Linked DNA regions of Lepisosteus oculatus. The protein of the gene in region 1 purifies or fractionates together with the protein of each later gene. This does not show direct contact. Links are inferred from orthologs where the notes say so. Each region holds a gene or a part of one and is shown in the gene's direction. Other genes may lie near its edges.

Evidence for each region. Proteins that work in one complex are often made in the same cells at the same time.
Region 2: the proteins of cdk7 (region 1) and gtf2h4 purify together in Homo sapiens (affinity purification with mass spectrometry; 7 studies listed by BioGRID and IntAct, with this or other methods). This does not show direct contact. The link is inferred for Lepisosteus oculatus from reciprocal best matches to the Homo sapiens genes CDK7 and GTF2H4.

What each region holds. Positions count from the first base shown.
Region 1 is NC_090698.1:41,758,943-41,766,487, forward strand, and holds the start of cdk7 (cyclin-dependent kinase 7), read left to right. Parts: upstream 1-4,519; 5' UTR 4,520-4,635; coding exon 4,636-4,704; intron 4,705-5,126; coding exon 5,127-5,186; intron 5,187-5,459; coding exon 5,460-5,493; intron 5,494-6,679; coding exon 6,680-6,747; intron 6,748-7,321; coding exon 7,322-7,390; intron 7,391-7,545. UniProt on the Homo sapiens protein: Serine/threonine kinase involved in cell cycle control and in RNA polymerase II-mediated RNA transcription. Cyclin-dependent kinases (CDKs) are activated by the binding to a cyclin and mediate the progression through the cell cycle.
Region 2 is NC_090709.1:40,992,894-41,000,293, reverse strand, and holds the start of gtf2h4 (general transcription factor IIH subunit 4), read left to right. Parts: upstream 1-4,354; 5' UTR 4,355-4,396; intron 4,397-5,471; exon of another isoform or gene 5,472-5,483; intron 5,484-7,400. Other genes in the region: uncharacterized protein, read left to right, coding at 373-422, 1,632-1,769. UniProt on the Homo sapiens protein: Component of the general transcription and DNA repair factor IIH (TFIIH) core complex, which is involved in general and transcription-coupled nucleotide excision repair (NER) of damaged DNA and, when complexed to CAK, in RNA transcription by RNA polymerase II.

The sequences.
Region 1 (7,545 bases):
TGACTCACTCATAACTCATTACAATTACCTTTCTTGAATGACATTATCTTTTCTTTTTACTTTAGATGAGCACAATCAGCTGGTCTCACCATAAACTTCAGTTTTCTGTTCTTTCCAAACTGTTAGACTGCATGCAAGACTCAAAATAGGACCATTAAATGAACAGAAATTACCTTTGTAAAAAAAAATGAAAATAAGAATAACATTATTAATTTCACAAACAGGATATTCATGTAAAAAGTAAATATGTACATATTCAATTCCGTTCAATTTATTTTTATATAGCACCTTTCACAACAAGGTTACCCCAGGGCGCTTAACAATATACTGTAAGTAACCATACATTTTGTGAATACAGAACAGAAAAGACCAGAAGACAACGGAGGAGAGGAACCAAAAACTCCTTAGTAAGGAGATAAAAAAGCTCTAAGGGTCCAAGGTCAACTGGATGCCCAACCCTTTTGGCCATGCTAACATTATATAAGTCAAAAAAAGGAAATAAATGAATGAGGATATTAATCCATCCATCCATCATGTCTTCTGTGGGTCAGTACTCCATGCAGATGTCTGTAGACCAGCAAAATTCTCCTAAACGATAGCTATATCCACAATGTACCTCTTGATACTCAGATATATTTTTCTGAGTATCTTCATATACAGTATGTTACATTTACAAATTCTGCATTATAAATAAATGAATTCATAGCATGTATATCTATTAACATAATCATTGATTTTTTGGGTGAATTCAAGGACACTGCACTCTAATATTTTAATACAGGATCAGAGGGGAATGTCTTAAGCACATCTGCATACTTTCTTTCACATAGAGAGGATACTAAAACTGAAGACAAACATATGTAAATTATGTTCTGTTTACTTATTCATAAATATGGATTAATCTTTTTCAACATTTTACCATTTTTTATGTTTTTCTTTCTAGTAGCAAAAATGCACAAGGCTAACTTTTATTTCCTTTTATTATTCCATACAAGTTCTATGTCTAAGACAGCAGCTGTTAACACTAGTTCACATTGTGACAAGTAGGGTGGGTGCCCTCTCCTGACCAGAACTGAGCCACTCAGAAGGAATTTCACGCAGATGGTACCCTTTAACCCAGTGTAGTCCTACAGTGATAACACCTACTGCTGTTTCCAACCGAAGACAGACGTAAGGAGAGACTAACAGTGCCCCCTAGTGGAATAGTGATTTACTGGATGCCATAATATTAATGATGGAAACTTTTTGTTCCTTAAAAAGTCTAACATCTTTCCCAAAGATTGTATGTTGACACAATAATAACAAATTATTTCACATATTAACAATGTGTTATGTGTATTTAACATCTTTCCTTATGTTTTATGTTGATGCAATAATAATAATTTATTACAGATATTAACAAGGTATCACATGCATTTGCTTCAGATTCAAAGTGGTTCAAACTAGAATTAATTTGACTAAGCTATACTTAATTGCCAAATAAACAGGTTTAATGAATGCAAATAATAATTATCTAACAGTATTGGGCAAAGCAAAGCTAATTTCTTCCATTTTCTTCACATTCCATTATATGCCTTTATTCATTCATCATTAGTATGATAAGAATATAGGAAAGATTGACAAGTGGTTGTTGCTTGGACCATTTTGCTCATTTGGTATTGTAGCAACTCAGTAAATTCAGATGTTTCTTGAAGGAGCCCAGAATCTGGACCTCAGCTTCCTGACACCCTCAACTCTACCCTCAGCTGATAAGAAATATTTACTGATCTCCATTCTCAATCTCCAGAGACCATTAGTTATTCTTGTAGCTCGTCTTTGAACTCTTTCCAAGTCTGCAAGATTCTTGTTTTGGTAAAGTAATTTATATCCATCCAGTTTCTAATCCACTTATCCATGTCAGGTGCACCCCAAGTCTAACCAGCAAGCAACAGGCACAAGGCTGGATATGCCCTGGACATGGTGCCTGTCCAACACAGGGCACACACAGACACAAACATGCACACATGCAATGTGCTTTAAAGGAATCAATTGTCCTTGTTTAAAGAATTTTGTATAGTACGTAAAACAATAGCAGCCTTTTCTAAATCCTTATTGAATGTTTCCTAAAATGCTATTATTTAGCAAATATTTTTCCAGTTTAGCTTTATTGTTTCCCTAACTTTACCAATAACAGAAGTAACTCATTCAAGGGTCAACTTACCCAAAAGCCTACAGTACCAGTATGTCAGTATGGGAGGGAACCAAAGCACGCCGAGGAAACCCATGCAAACACGAGGAGACCATACAAACTCCACACAGACAGCACCCCAGGAAATGAATCCTGGGCCCCTGGTGCTGTGAAGCAGACATGCTAGCTATTTACAATTGTGTCACCCGGTGATTTATACATTTGGTATAACATTAAGTAAAGTACACAGATAAGTACAATGACCTTCCCTTGATTTAACGTCCACATTCATGCTATATACCCCAACATTGTTTGCTGTTCTATTGTTTTCCTATACTGACCTGAGTCCTGAAAACAATAGTCATAAACACCGGATCCCCGGATCCCTTCATACAAAGCTTCCAGCTACGTAGGGTCACCCATGTGACATTTAATTCCCAGCTGCCATATCACCCTGAATCTCACAATTGACAACCCACTCAAGTTAAACAGGTGTGAGCCTGGATGGGAGACCTCCTGGGAAAAACTAAGGTTGCTTCTGGAAGAGGTGTTAGTGGGGCCAGTAGGGGGCACTTACCCTGTTGACTGTGTGGGTCCTAATGCCCCAGTATAGTGACGGGGACACTATACTGTAAAAAGGTGCTGCCCTTCGGATGAGATATAAAACTGAGGTCCTGACTTCTGTGGTTGTTAAAAATCCCAGGGTACTTTTCAAAAAGAGTAGGGTGTCCCATTGGCCTTAACCAATCATGGCTTCCTAATAATCCCCATCTACGAATTGGTTTCATCACTCTGTTCTCGTTGTTAGCTGGTGTGTGGTGAGTGTACTTGCGCACTATGGATGCCATCACATCATCCAAGTGCGGTTGTACAGGTGGAATGGTGGCACTGTGGCTAGGGATCTGTGTCTGTGACAGCAAGGTTGCTGGTTCAAATCCTAAGGCTGGCAGAGGAATCCTACTCTGTTGAGCCCCTGAGCAAGGCCCTTAACCCCAACTGCTCCAGCTGTATAAATAGCTAATCCTGCACTCTTACCTTGAACTTCTCCCTCTGTGCCTGTGTGTCTCCTGGAGAGCAAGCTAGGGTATGTGAAAAGACAAATTCCTAATGCAAGAAATTGTATATGGCTAATAAAGTGATCTTATCTTACATTGGTGGTGGTGGAGGGGAGTCCCCATTACCTGTAAAACACTTTGAGTGTAGTGTCCAGAGTATTCTTATACTTATTTTAAGAATCAGTCTGACTAGAATTCTTTCACTTTAGGATCACTCACTGCTTCATATTTGTTAATTGGCTTTTAACCTGTATTGATATATGACAAGAATTCTACAGATTGAGTTTCAACTGTTTTAGAGAGACTTAGTGAAAAGCTTTCTGAAAACCAAATCACATCGTGTGATTTCGAGTTTATCAGTTGTCCTTGTTGCATATGCAAAGAATTTTAAGCATGATGTAAAACAATATTCTCCTTTTCTAAATCCTTGTTGAATGTCTCTTAAAATGCCATCATTTTGCAAATATTCTTCCAGTTAGCACTACTGTTTCCATGACCAGCCAAAATTAAGATTGATTGGCCTATAGTTTTGTTTTATGAATTGGTGTTTCATTCTAAATGTTCCCTTCTGTGGGTGCAGCTCCCATCTTTAATTAGAGTTGAAATATCTTGGTTAAATATTTATTAATACTATCCCTCATTTCTTTTAGTCCAACTGTGAAAATATCATGTTCCAGTGATTTATTCATTTTTATCCACAAAATAGTAATACCTCAGTGTCAGGTATGCAAAAATCACAATGTTAATGACACTCCTTTTTCTCCACATTTTCTGTTCTCTTCTAGAATTTATTTTTTAAAGTATTTTCTTCAGCTTATGTTTAATATTATGTTTTTGAACTGTAACCATCCCTTATTTCTATTTTATTGCTATTGACTCTGTATCCATCTGCTGACCTCGTGTACGCTGTTTGCACATTCTGCCTTCCTCATTCAGTCTGTTTTCTTTAAATTTAAAGTCTGATTTTGGACTAAACCGTTTAGAGGTTTAAGTGTGCATCAAAGACTGCCATATCATGATTACACCTAATATGTTTATTCTGCGCTGGTTCTTAAAACAAAAAGGTCAATGACAGCGTCTATCCTAGTCCCTGCCTTTGAAAACTGGGGTAAAAAGCAATCATAAGCCACTTCAAACATTGATTTTAGCTTCTAAAAGAGCTAAAATTAAAAATAAAATGTTAAAGAAGGGGTTCTCAATCAGTAGATTAATGTTGATTGATGTTATTTAACATAAAATACTGCCCTCTATCTTCCACAAGACGGATTTTTTTAACCTGGAAGTAGTTGTGATCTGTAGCCAGTGACAATAGTGCGCACGCACAAACATGGCGATCTGCACAAACGCATTAACAGTTTTCTGTTCATCAGCAGGAAGTTGGGTCTCTTAGTGACAGTTGTAAGTTAGGAAGAGATGATGGCCGTGGATGTGAAATCCAGAGCAAAGAGATACGAAAAGCTTGATTTTCTTGGAGAGGGCCAGGTAAAGGGAAAGTTCTTTAGTTTTAAAAAACAACAGCTGAAGTATATATCGATGCATATAGTTGAGCTGTAGCAGGAAAGCGGACACTACTATTAAATTAAAGGTCTCTGTGAAGAATTACACGCTATTCATAAAAACTGTTAGTGTCGTAAGAAAATGTTTTTGAATTTGCATAGCCTACAGAAAGGCTGTTGCAATAAAAACATTTTTTATTGTTGTGTGATACAGGGTTGCTGTAGTTAATTTCACTTGGTGTGAACAAATCGGATAGAAAATAGTTAATAGGATAAATAGGTGCTGTTTTTATATTATTGTTTAGAATTGTTTTTTTTTAAACGACAAATATTAAATGTTTTGCTTGTTGGTTGCAAATAACTGTTTTGGAATGGCTTCCTGATCTATATCACCTCATCTCTTTGCAGTTCGCAACTGTTTACAAAGCAAGAGATAAGAATACAAACACCATAGTTGCGATCAAAAAGGTATTGTTGCTTACTCTTTTCATTTTGAATATAGCTCCATTGTAGTACTCGCAATTTGTCTTCTAAATGCAAAGTTGTCTACCTTGAGACTGTTTAATTGTACATGTGGAAAAAGCAAATATGTTATCCAGAACACTTCGTTTATTGTTTTCGTGTGTTAATTGTCCTCTTGAGATTCTAATTTAATTTTTCTTAAACAGGAATTACAAACAGAATTACTTCGCACTTTAAACGATCCTTTTTGAAGATGCATTTCTAAATTTCTAATTTCAGATTAAAGTTGGTCACAGAGCTGAAGCCAAAGATGGTAAGATGGATACTTACATTTATTATGCTGTTATACCTATTTATTTATTTCTGAAAGGTACATTATTTTGTTAGAATTGTGAAAGATTTAGGAAGACCTTTAAAACTCCTTTAAAGGTGTTGTTTAAATAACCTTAACTTTAATCTAAAATAGTTTTAATTATGGTATACCTATAGATTTGTAAGCAGTGCTTTGACAAGCATATAGAACAATTTCAGCAGTGAATGGGGAGAAATGGTCATTTTATTACTTACATTGGCAATGTTAGCAGTCCACTTTCTTGATCCAGTCAAGCTCTAATTGTTTAAGACAGTCTGATACAAGTTAAGACGCGACATATAGGAGCATAAATAATGGTTTATGTCCCAAGATGGTATTACAGTAAAAAATCTAGTCTAGAAACATGTACACGCACACAAGTATCTTTGAATTAACGAAAAACAATACCTAATGTCTTTGCCATTCTCTGTCAGTAGATATCGACACTTAGGCATTCTGTATCTGTCATCACAAGAATTGTCATTCACATTACCTGGCAATGACAAAAACATTTTTGTTCCCAGAAGTCACCAGCATCACAGTTCTCACACTCATTCTTATTGTTGTGATTTTGTTTCCCTTTTCTGTTACTCTCCATACATTTTTATGCAGCATTTCTTATTTCAGAATTTCCTTATTGAACATAATTTCTTTAATGATTCTCCCAGAAGAAATCGCCCACAATACTTATAGTACTCAGCCATACAATAAGCTCAGTGAGGGTTTTTCCACCGAAAGGTATTTATTACAAAGTGATTGGTAGTGAAAACATTTTTTTGTAGAGATTCTTTCAATGGTTTGGTCACATTTAAACTCATACAGTAATTGGAAATTGATACAATCAGGTATAATCATAATTAAAGTCTGTGTTCATTGTCAACAAAAAAGACTTTCATTTCTGCAATAAAAAAAATACTACAGCAGACCTGTATGTTGTAGAAGAGAGCATTTCACTTCATAGCCAAAGGGTTGCAATTAATTTAGTTATGGTTTCAAGTGCCATTCTATGAATATGATTTTCCCAACAGCCTCTGCCTCAGTGCTTGGCAGCACATAGTTCAAATATTTTAACCAGTGTTGTTTCACAGTGAATCGTAAGATTTTAAATCAAGCTTTCTTATGTATGCAATTACCCCACTTTGCACAGGTATTAACCGAACAGCCCTTCGAGAAATTAAACTGCTTCAAGAGCTAAGTCACCCAAATATAATTGGAGTAAGTATTTAGTTGAGCATTAATTTCTAACGTAATTTGTATTTGTGTGTCTGTTCTTTTGTAGTTTTACTTTTTGTGCTAACGTTTTGGGAGCAACCTACGAATTACCACTGTTTTGTTTTGTGTTGACAATTGATGCAGAATAGTTTTCGTATTTCCAGAATCCATTCTATTTAAGCAATAGGTTATTATACAGTTTATAAATCATGCTATGACAGATTTTAAATCTATTTTCCATGGTGTTTCAGAAGCATATGCAGCTGAACTGAATTTGACATGCTAGCTTAACTGCATTGCAGAGCAGTCCTGAATTGAAAGAGACATAACAGTGCCTAAGCAAATGCTGTTTATTCTTTCAATGTCTTATGCATGCCTTCAAAGAAAAAAGTTAATTGAATACTAATTAAACAGTGTAAAATAATTGATTTTTTCTTTTTTTTAAGGGAGCATTGATGTAACTTGATAATGTAACAGACCAGATGGTTGATTTTTTTACATTACTTGAAGACATAGTAATCTGCATTTTCTTGGTTACTGTACATTATAATATGATTACTTTTCATCTTTCATTAAGCTTCTAGATGCTTTTGGACATAAATCCAATATCAGTCTGGTCTTTGACTACATGGAAACAGATCTAGAGGTAAGGTTTTCTTTTAAAGACTGGTGCCTTGTGTTTGAGATCTGTCTTTCTTACATTTAGGAATTCTAGTGAATGTCTCTTTCCCACAGAAAATTACATCCTTTGCCTAGACTTTATATTCCCAGTTAATCATGAGAACAGAACCAGGTGTTCCT
Region 2 (7,400 bases), on another chromosome or scaffold:
AAATGATTTCAAATGTATATAAAACGACATTCAGGGTAGAGGTGTCCGCTATATTAGGAAATGTAAATGGCTATCGCGTTTAGACTTGGGTCCCATTTTAGAGACGCAAATATTAAAATATTCCGAAATCCGGTCCCAGGAATTTCGGGGAAGGGATTCTCACCCGGTGTTACTCTAGACTTGGTGGTAGAAACACGGGGCAGCCGGTATGAAACGGTATTAATCCTGTGGGACCGGGAAACGTCATGTCTTCAGGGAAACAGAGAGGTTTCGGGCGCTCGGCGCCCATTGCGCTTTGTGAGGCTGGGTTTGGTGTTGGGTTTTTATCGTGTTCAATTGGTTTTAATTTTTTTTTCTGCTCCTCCGCCCCAGGGGACGCGTCTCCGGAGGACCGACGGGGCCGGAGAGAAGACGCGGGCAGCGTGAGTTGGGTTTTTTATTTTTTTAAATGTATTTATTTTTTTTTTCATTTATGCTTCACACAATAACAACATTCGCAATACAAACAGGAGCACGTCTAACAAGTCAAGACGGAAAAAGACCGTCGGGGGTTGCACAGGACTACATCAATTCGAGCTATGAAAAAAAGATGAAACACCTTCAATAAAAATAACGTTCAGATGTGTGCACTTGGAAATTGTCTGCGAATACCCCCCTTACCTCCGGTTTAAAATGCTCCAACACAGGGGTCTTCCCGGACCACCTCATTTCATGCATATAATAACGTGCCGTTATAATACTTAAAAATTTATTACAAACGACGCAGGCAGCGTGAGTACTTACTTGAGTACTTGTCGTATGAGTACTTTACTAAAAGCGTTATTTCTCCTGTTATTGGGCGCGCTTGAAAGCCGGTCGTGTGACCCGGCCGGCGGTGGTGTTATTGCCGCCAGCGATGGCTGTCTTGCAATGTCGCGGTGCTGGTGAGTGTATGTCCTGTGATGGACTGGTGTCCTGTCCAGGGTGTGTGAGTGTGTGTGTGAGTCCTGTGATGGACTGGTGTCCTGTCCAGGGTGTGTGTGTGTGTGTCCTGTGATGGACTGGTGTCCTGTCCAGGGTGTGTGTGTGTGTGTCCTGTGATGGAGTGGTGTCCTGTCCAGGGTGTGTGTGTGTGTGTGTGTGTGTGTGTGTGTGTGTGTGTGTGTGTGTGTGTGTGTGTCCTGTGATGGACTGGTGTCCTGTCCAGGGTGTGTGTGTGTGTGTCCTGTGATGGACTGGTGTCCTGTCCAGGGTGTGTGTGTGTGTGTCCTGTGATGGACTGGTGTCCTGTCCAGGGTGTGTGAGTGTGTGTGTGTCCTGTGATGGACTGGTGTCCTGTCCAGGGTGTGTGAGTGTGTGTGTGTGCCCTGTGATGGACTGCTGTCCTGTCCAGGGTGTGTGAGTGTGTGTGTGTGTGTGTGTGTGTGTGTGTGTGTGTGTGTGTGTGTGTCCTGTGATGGACTGGTGTCCTGTCCAGGGTGTGTGAGTGTGTGTGTGTGCCCTGTGATGGACTGCTGTCCTGTCCAGGGTGTGTGTGTGCCCTGTGATGGACTGCTGTCCATCACTGTCCATGGACTGAGTCTGAGCGGCGGTAAGGACCGGGCGGTCTTTCTCACGCCCCGGGTGTGTGTGTGTGTCTCCTCTCCTCGCAGGGAGACGCCGGGGCGACGGACTACGCCGCCGTGGAGGTGCCGGTGCTGAGGGGGCGCCCGCGTCCCGGGCCAGCGCCGCCGCCCCCGGGTCTCTACTCGGAGATCTCCTGCCTGCCCGGAGAGGGGGGGCGGGTGTGACTCGGGTCGGGGGGGGAGGAGAGAGAGACTGTCCTGCAGGTCCGAGCCCCGGAGAGAGAGAGGTGGGGGCGAAACATTCTTCTACCTACAGCACTTGGGAGGAATAGAATCATTGTTAAAAGATCGTGAGGTTTTTTTTGTTTGTTTGTTTGTTTCAAGTACAACGAAATCTTTTTGAAACCGTTCATAGGAACGAGGACTGTGCAGGAGAGGCGGGGGCGGCTGGCTCTTTTCCAGTCTCCATCATCTCCCTCTTCCTCCGGGGGGACCGGACCGGACTGGACTGGACCGGACCGGACCGGCGCTTTAGAACCAAACAAAACACACAAAAAAGGGGGGTTTTGAGGTTCGGAAGAAGCGCTCGGGTGAAGAAGGAGACACGGAGGGGAGGGAGAGACTGTGGGGACAGAGGAGCTGGTGTCCGTGTCTCTGCAGGTTTAAAAACGTGCGTGTTTTTTTTGTCTTGCTGGGCCGTGACAGTAGGGGCCCGGGGTCAGTGGGGGTCAGCTCGCGCTGCCGTCTCGGGCGGCTGTGTGGGAGGAGCGCAGACCAGGCCCCTCGCCTCGCGCCGCTCCGGCTACCGCCCGCCCACGCGTGTGGTTTCACTGCGTGCGAGCACAAGACGCGCGTGTCGAGTTCACAGCTTTTAGGGAGTTGTTGTCGGTGTTTTTTTTTGTTGTTGTTTGTTTGTTTCCAGCAGCGTCTAGATCAATCGTATCGGTCTGTACAGACAGACGCGCCACATCCGGGGTAGCTGCGTGTCCGGCGCTATACACGGTGTGTCTGCCCCACGCCTGTTGGTAGCGGGGGCTGTGGGCTGCAGTTCCGCACCTCCCCCCCGCGCTAGATAATGAGCTCGTGTGGTGTGAGTCTGGGTGTCTGGGTGCTAGCAGCAACAGCAGCAGCACAGTGAGGCAGAGGTTCAACTGAGGCGCTGGGGTGTTGTCTGTGTGGAGTTTGCATGTTGTCCCCCCGACGCTATACTGGGGCAGCAAGACCCCACGCAGACCGCAGGGTGAGAGCGCCCCCTGCTGGCCCCACTCACACCTCTCCCAGCAGCAGCAGCCTCAGTTTTTCCCAGGAGTCTCCCCTCCAGGTACTGGCCGGGCTCACACACCTGCTGGGGCTCCAGTGGGGAGAGGGGGCTGCCCGGGGTGCGTTTCAAAATGCCTTATTTATGTAAAAAAAAAAACAATAACCGAAACGTTCACTTGGAGACCTGGAGCACGACACCTGGAGGCGAAAACTTCAATACTTCCGAATCCCGTGAAACGTTTGTACGTAATAAAATGTTTTTCAGTTTCGAAACAAAGACCCATTTGTGTCCAAATTTAAGCACGAGATGGAAGGATATCATCTTGTCCGTGATTTTCTTTCTCTTTGGGTGTGGTTTAACAGCCTCGGTAAACCTACAGTATTATTAATTAGCAGATAAGGACTTTCCGCGACACGGAAGACACGCCCCCTTAGTCTCGGGACTGGGCTCCTGATTGGCTCATGGAAGAGACCAGAGACGCTCCTGATTGGTTCACGGAGGAGACCACCGACGCTCCTGATTGGTTCACAGATAGGCGATGATGGACACTCCCGATTGGCTTACAGAGAACGCGGGAGAGGAGGAGACGGAGCCGTGACATTTTAAGGCATCTTTTCTACGAGTTGCAACCCTTCGGTCCCTTTAAAGAGGGCAGTTTCAGGGTCGAAACGAGGAGGCTCTCTAACGTGCGTTTCGGAAGAGACGGACCGCACCAGGGTTCAGAAATATCTAGTAAGCCGATCACTCCCGATAATGCCCTGTAGGAAACATTTACTGGTGTTTTTTTTTTAATTTAGGCTGTTCGTCACTTAGTTTAGAAACCCCGGCGCACTTTTCCACACCTCCTGGGCGAAACGAAAGGTTTCAGAAGCTGAGTTGTGGGGAAACGTATTTTCCTCCAAAAAATAGTCGGAAGTTTTCTAGGAATCGGTTACGCTCGTAAAGCGAAATGTTTCTTGGTTGGGTATCGAGTCGGAGGAGTTTCTCATAGCCCGAGGAGAGACGACTCATCGAGGAAAATCTCTCTTCGACTGTGAGTGAGACTGTGGTCGGACTTCCTGACGATCATGTCCTTACACCTGTTAAACCCCAAACGGATCGACGCAGTTTCAGTGCCTCAGGAAGGAGAGAAACCCGCAGACACCCTCCACTGAGCCCCTGAAAGGCGAGCAGAGATTCTCCGGATTGGTTCTCTGAAAGGTGACCAGAGGTGACCAGAGACACTGCTGATTGGTTCTCTGAAAGGTGACCAGAGACTCCTGATTGGTTCTCTGAAAGATGACCAGAGACACTCCTGATTGGTTCTCTGAAAGGTGACCAGAGACGCTCCTGATTGGTTCTCTGAAAGGTAAGCAGGGACACTGCTGATTGGTTCTTTGAAAAGGTGACCAGAGACTCCTGATTGGTTCTCTGAAAGATGACCAGAGACACTCCTGATTGGTTCTCTGAAAGGTGACCAGAGACGCTCCTGATTGGTTCTCTGAAAGGTAAGCAGGGACACTGCTGATTGGTTCTTTGAAAAGGTGACCAGAGACTCCTGATTGGTTCTCTGAAAGGTGACCAGAGACGCTCCTGATTGGTTCTCTGAAAGGTAAGCAGGGACACTGCTGATTGGTTCTTTGAAAAGGTGACCAGAGACACTCCTGATTGGTTCTCTGAAAGGTGACCAGAGACGCTGCTGATTGGTTCTCTGAAAGGTAAGCAGGGACACTGCTGATTGGTTCTTTGAAAAGGTGACCAGAGACTCCTGATTGGTTCTCTGAAAGGTGACCAGAGACACTCCTGATTGGTTCTCTGAAAGGTGACCAGAGACACTGCTGATTGGTTCTCTGAAAGGTAAGCAGGGGACGCTGCTGATTGGTTCTCTGAAAGGTGACCAGAGACACTGCTGATTGGTTCTCTGAAAGCTGACCAGAGACGCTGCTGATTGGTTCTCTGAAAGGTAAGCAGGGGACGCTGCTGATTGGTTCTCTGAAAGGTAAGCAGGGACACTGCTGATTGGTTCTTTGAAAAGGTGACCAGAGACTCCTGATTGGTTCTCTGAAAGGTGACCAGAGACACTACTGATTGGTTCTCTGAAAGGTGACCAGAGACACTACTGATTGGTTCTCTGAAAGGTGACCAGAGACACTGCTGATTGGTTCTCTGAAAGGTGACCAGAGACACTGCTGATTGGTTCTCTGAAAGGTGACCAGAGACGCTGCTGATTGGTTCTCTGAAAGATGACCAGAGACACTGCTGATTGGTTCTCTGAAAGATGACCAGAGACTCCTGATTGGTTCTCTGAAAGGTGACCAGAGACACTGCTGATTGGTTCTCTGAAAGGTAAGCAGGGGACGCTGCTGATTGGTTCTCTGAAAGGTAAGCAGGGGACGCTGCTGATTGGTTCTCTGAAAGGTGACCAGAGACACTGCTGATTGGTTCTCTGAAAGCTGACCAGAGACGCTGCTGATTGGTTCTCTGAAAGGTAAGCAGGGACACTGCTGATTGGTTCTTTGAAAAGGTGACCAGAGACTCCTGATTGGTTCTCTGAAAGCTGACCAGAGACACTGCTGATTGGTTCTCTGAAAGGTAAGCAGGGGACGCTCCTGATTGGTTCTCTGAAAGGTGACCAGAGACACTGCTGATTGGTTCTCTGAAAGGTAAGCAGGGGACACTGCTGATTGGTTCTCTGAAAGGTGACCACAGACAGTTTTGTTTTTGGGGCTATAAAAAAATAGGGGGGGGGGGGAAACAGACGTTTCTGATTGGAGCAGCGCCCGTCTCGGTGGGTCGACTGTCCCTCCTGAGCGCGGCCCGGCCGGGCAGGTAGATGTTGTTTTGTTTTCGCCGCCCACGCCTGCCCTGTTGTCTCACCCTCTCGGTGCCCCGCGGGGGCGTGAGAGCAGTCTGCGTGGAGGCGCGCTGTGGCTCTGTCACCCGGCCACACAGATTTCCATCGGAGGTCCCCCCCCCCGCGAGACGAGACGGTTACTGGCTGGTACCCGCGGTGTGGGTTTGGGCGCGTGGAAACAGCTCTCGCCGCTGTGTTGTTTCGACGCTTTTCGACGTAGATTCCTGCCTGCAGCTGCGGTACTGAGACAAGAACTATGCTGCCCTGGGTGTCTGTGTCTGCGTGTGTGTGTGTTCACGGTTTCCCCGATGCCCTGCGCGCCCAAGCCACGCGGGTTCCCAAACGGGATCTTTCCCAGCTCCGTAGAGACCCCGGGTCGTTTGCACAAAAACACACGTTGCAGTGGAAAAAAAAATACAGATCAAGGCAAAGACGATCAGCTTTTTTGTTTTTGCTGATGCGTCTGAGTGTGTAGGTGGGTACAAATGTAAGGGCCTGACACTGTCCAGCACTGGCGGGCTGTAGGAACTGAGTCTCTTCAGTCTGAAGGGAGTGTCCCGCACTGACAGGCTGCAGGAACTGAGTCTCTTTAGTCTAAAGGGAGTGTCCCCCACTGACAGGCTGAGGGAACTGAGTCTCTTCAGTCTGAAGGGAGCGTCCCGGACTGAGAGGCTGGAGGGACTGAGTCTCTTCAGTCTGAAGGGAGTGTCCCACACTGACAGGCTGCAGGAACTGAGTCTCTTCAGTCTGAAGGGAGTGTCCCGCACTGACAGGCTGGAGGAACTGAGTCTCTTTAGTCTGTAGGGAGTGTCCCACACTGACAGGCTGCAGGAACTGAGTCTCTTTAGTCTAAAGGGAGTGTCCCCCACTGACAGGCTGAGGGAACTGAGTCTCTTCAGTCTGAAGGGAGCGTCCCAGACTGAGAGGCTGGAGGGACTGAGTCTCTTCAGTCTGAAGGGAGTGTCCCACACTGACAGGCTGCAGGAACTGAGTCTCTTCAGTCTGTAGGGAGTGTCCCGCACTGACAGGCTGGAGGAACTGAGTCTCTTTAGTCTGTAGGGAGTGTCCCACACTGATAGGCCGGAGGAACTGAGTCTCTTTAGTCTGAAGGGAGCGTCCCGCACTGACAGGCTGGAGGGACTGAGTCTCTTTAGTCTGAAGGGAGCGTCCCACACTGACAGGCTGGAGGGACTGAGTCTCTTTAGTCTGAAGGGAGCGTCCCACACTGACAGGCTGAGGGAACTGAGTTTGTTTAGTCTGAAGGGAGTGTCCCACACTGACAGGCTGAGGGAACTGAGTCTCTTCAGTCTGAAGGGAGGGTCCCGCACTGACAGGCTGGAGGAACTGAGTCTCTTTAGTCTGAAGGGAGCGTCCCGCACTGAGAGGCTGGAGGGACTGAGTCTCTTTAGTCTGAAGGGAGTGTCCCGCACTGACAGGCTGCAGGAACTGAGTCTCTTTAGTCTGAAGGGAGCGTCCCGCACTGACAGGCCGGAGGAACTGAGTCTCTTTAGTCTGAAGGGAGTGTCCCACAGTGACGTGGTGAAGGAACTGAGTCTCTTTAGTCTGGAGGGAGTGCCCCACACTGACACGGTGAAGGAATCGCCTGTACACACTGTGTACCCTTTGTGTGCAGAAGAGCTTGTTCCCCACCCCCCACCACCCTCGGTGTCCTCGATGGCATAACACACCGACGGGGCGCTCTGAAAATTGCGGGGCCTTCGATTTGTCTAACGTCCCCGGTTTCTCCTCCTCTTTCTAAACC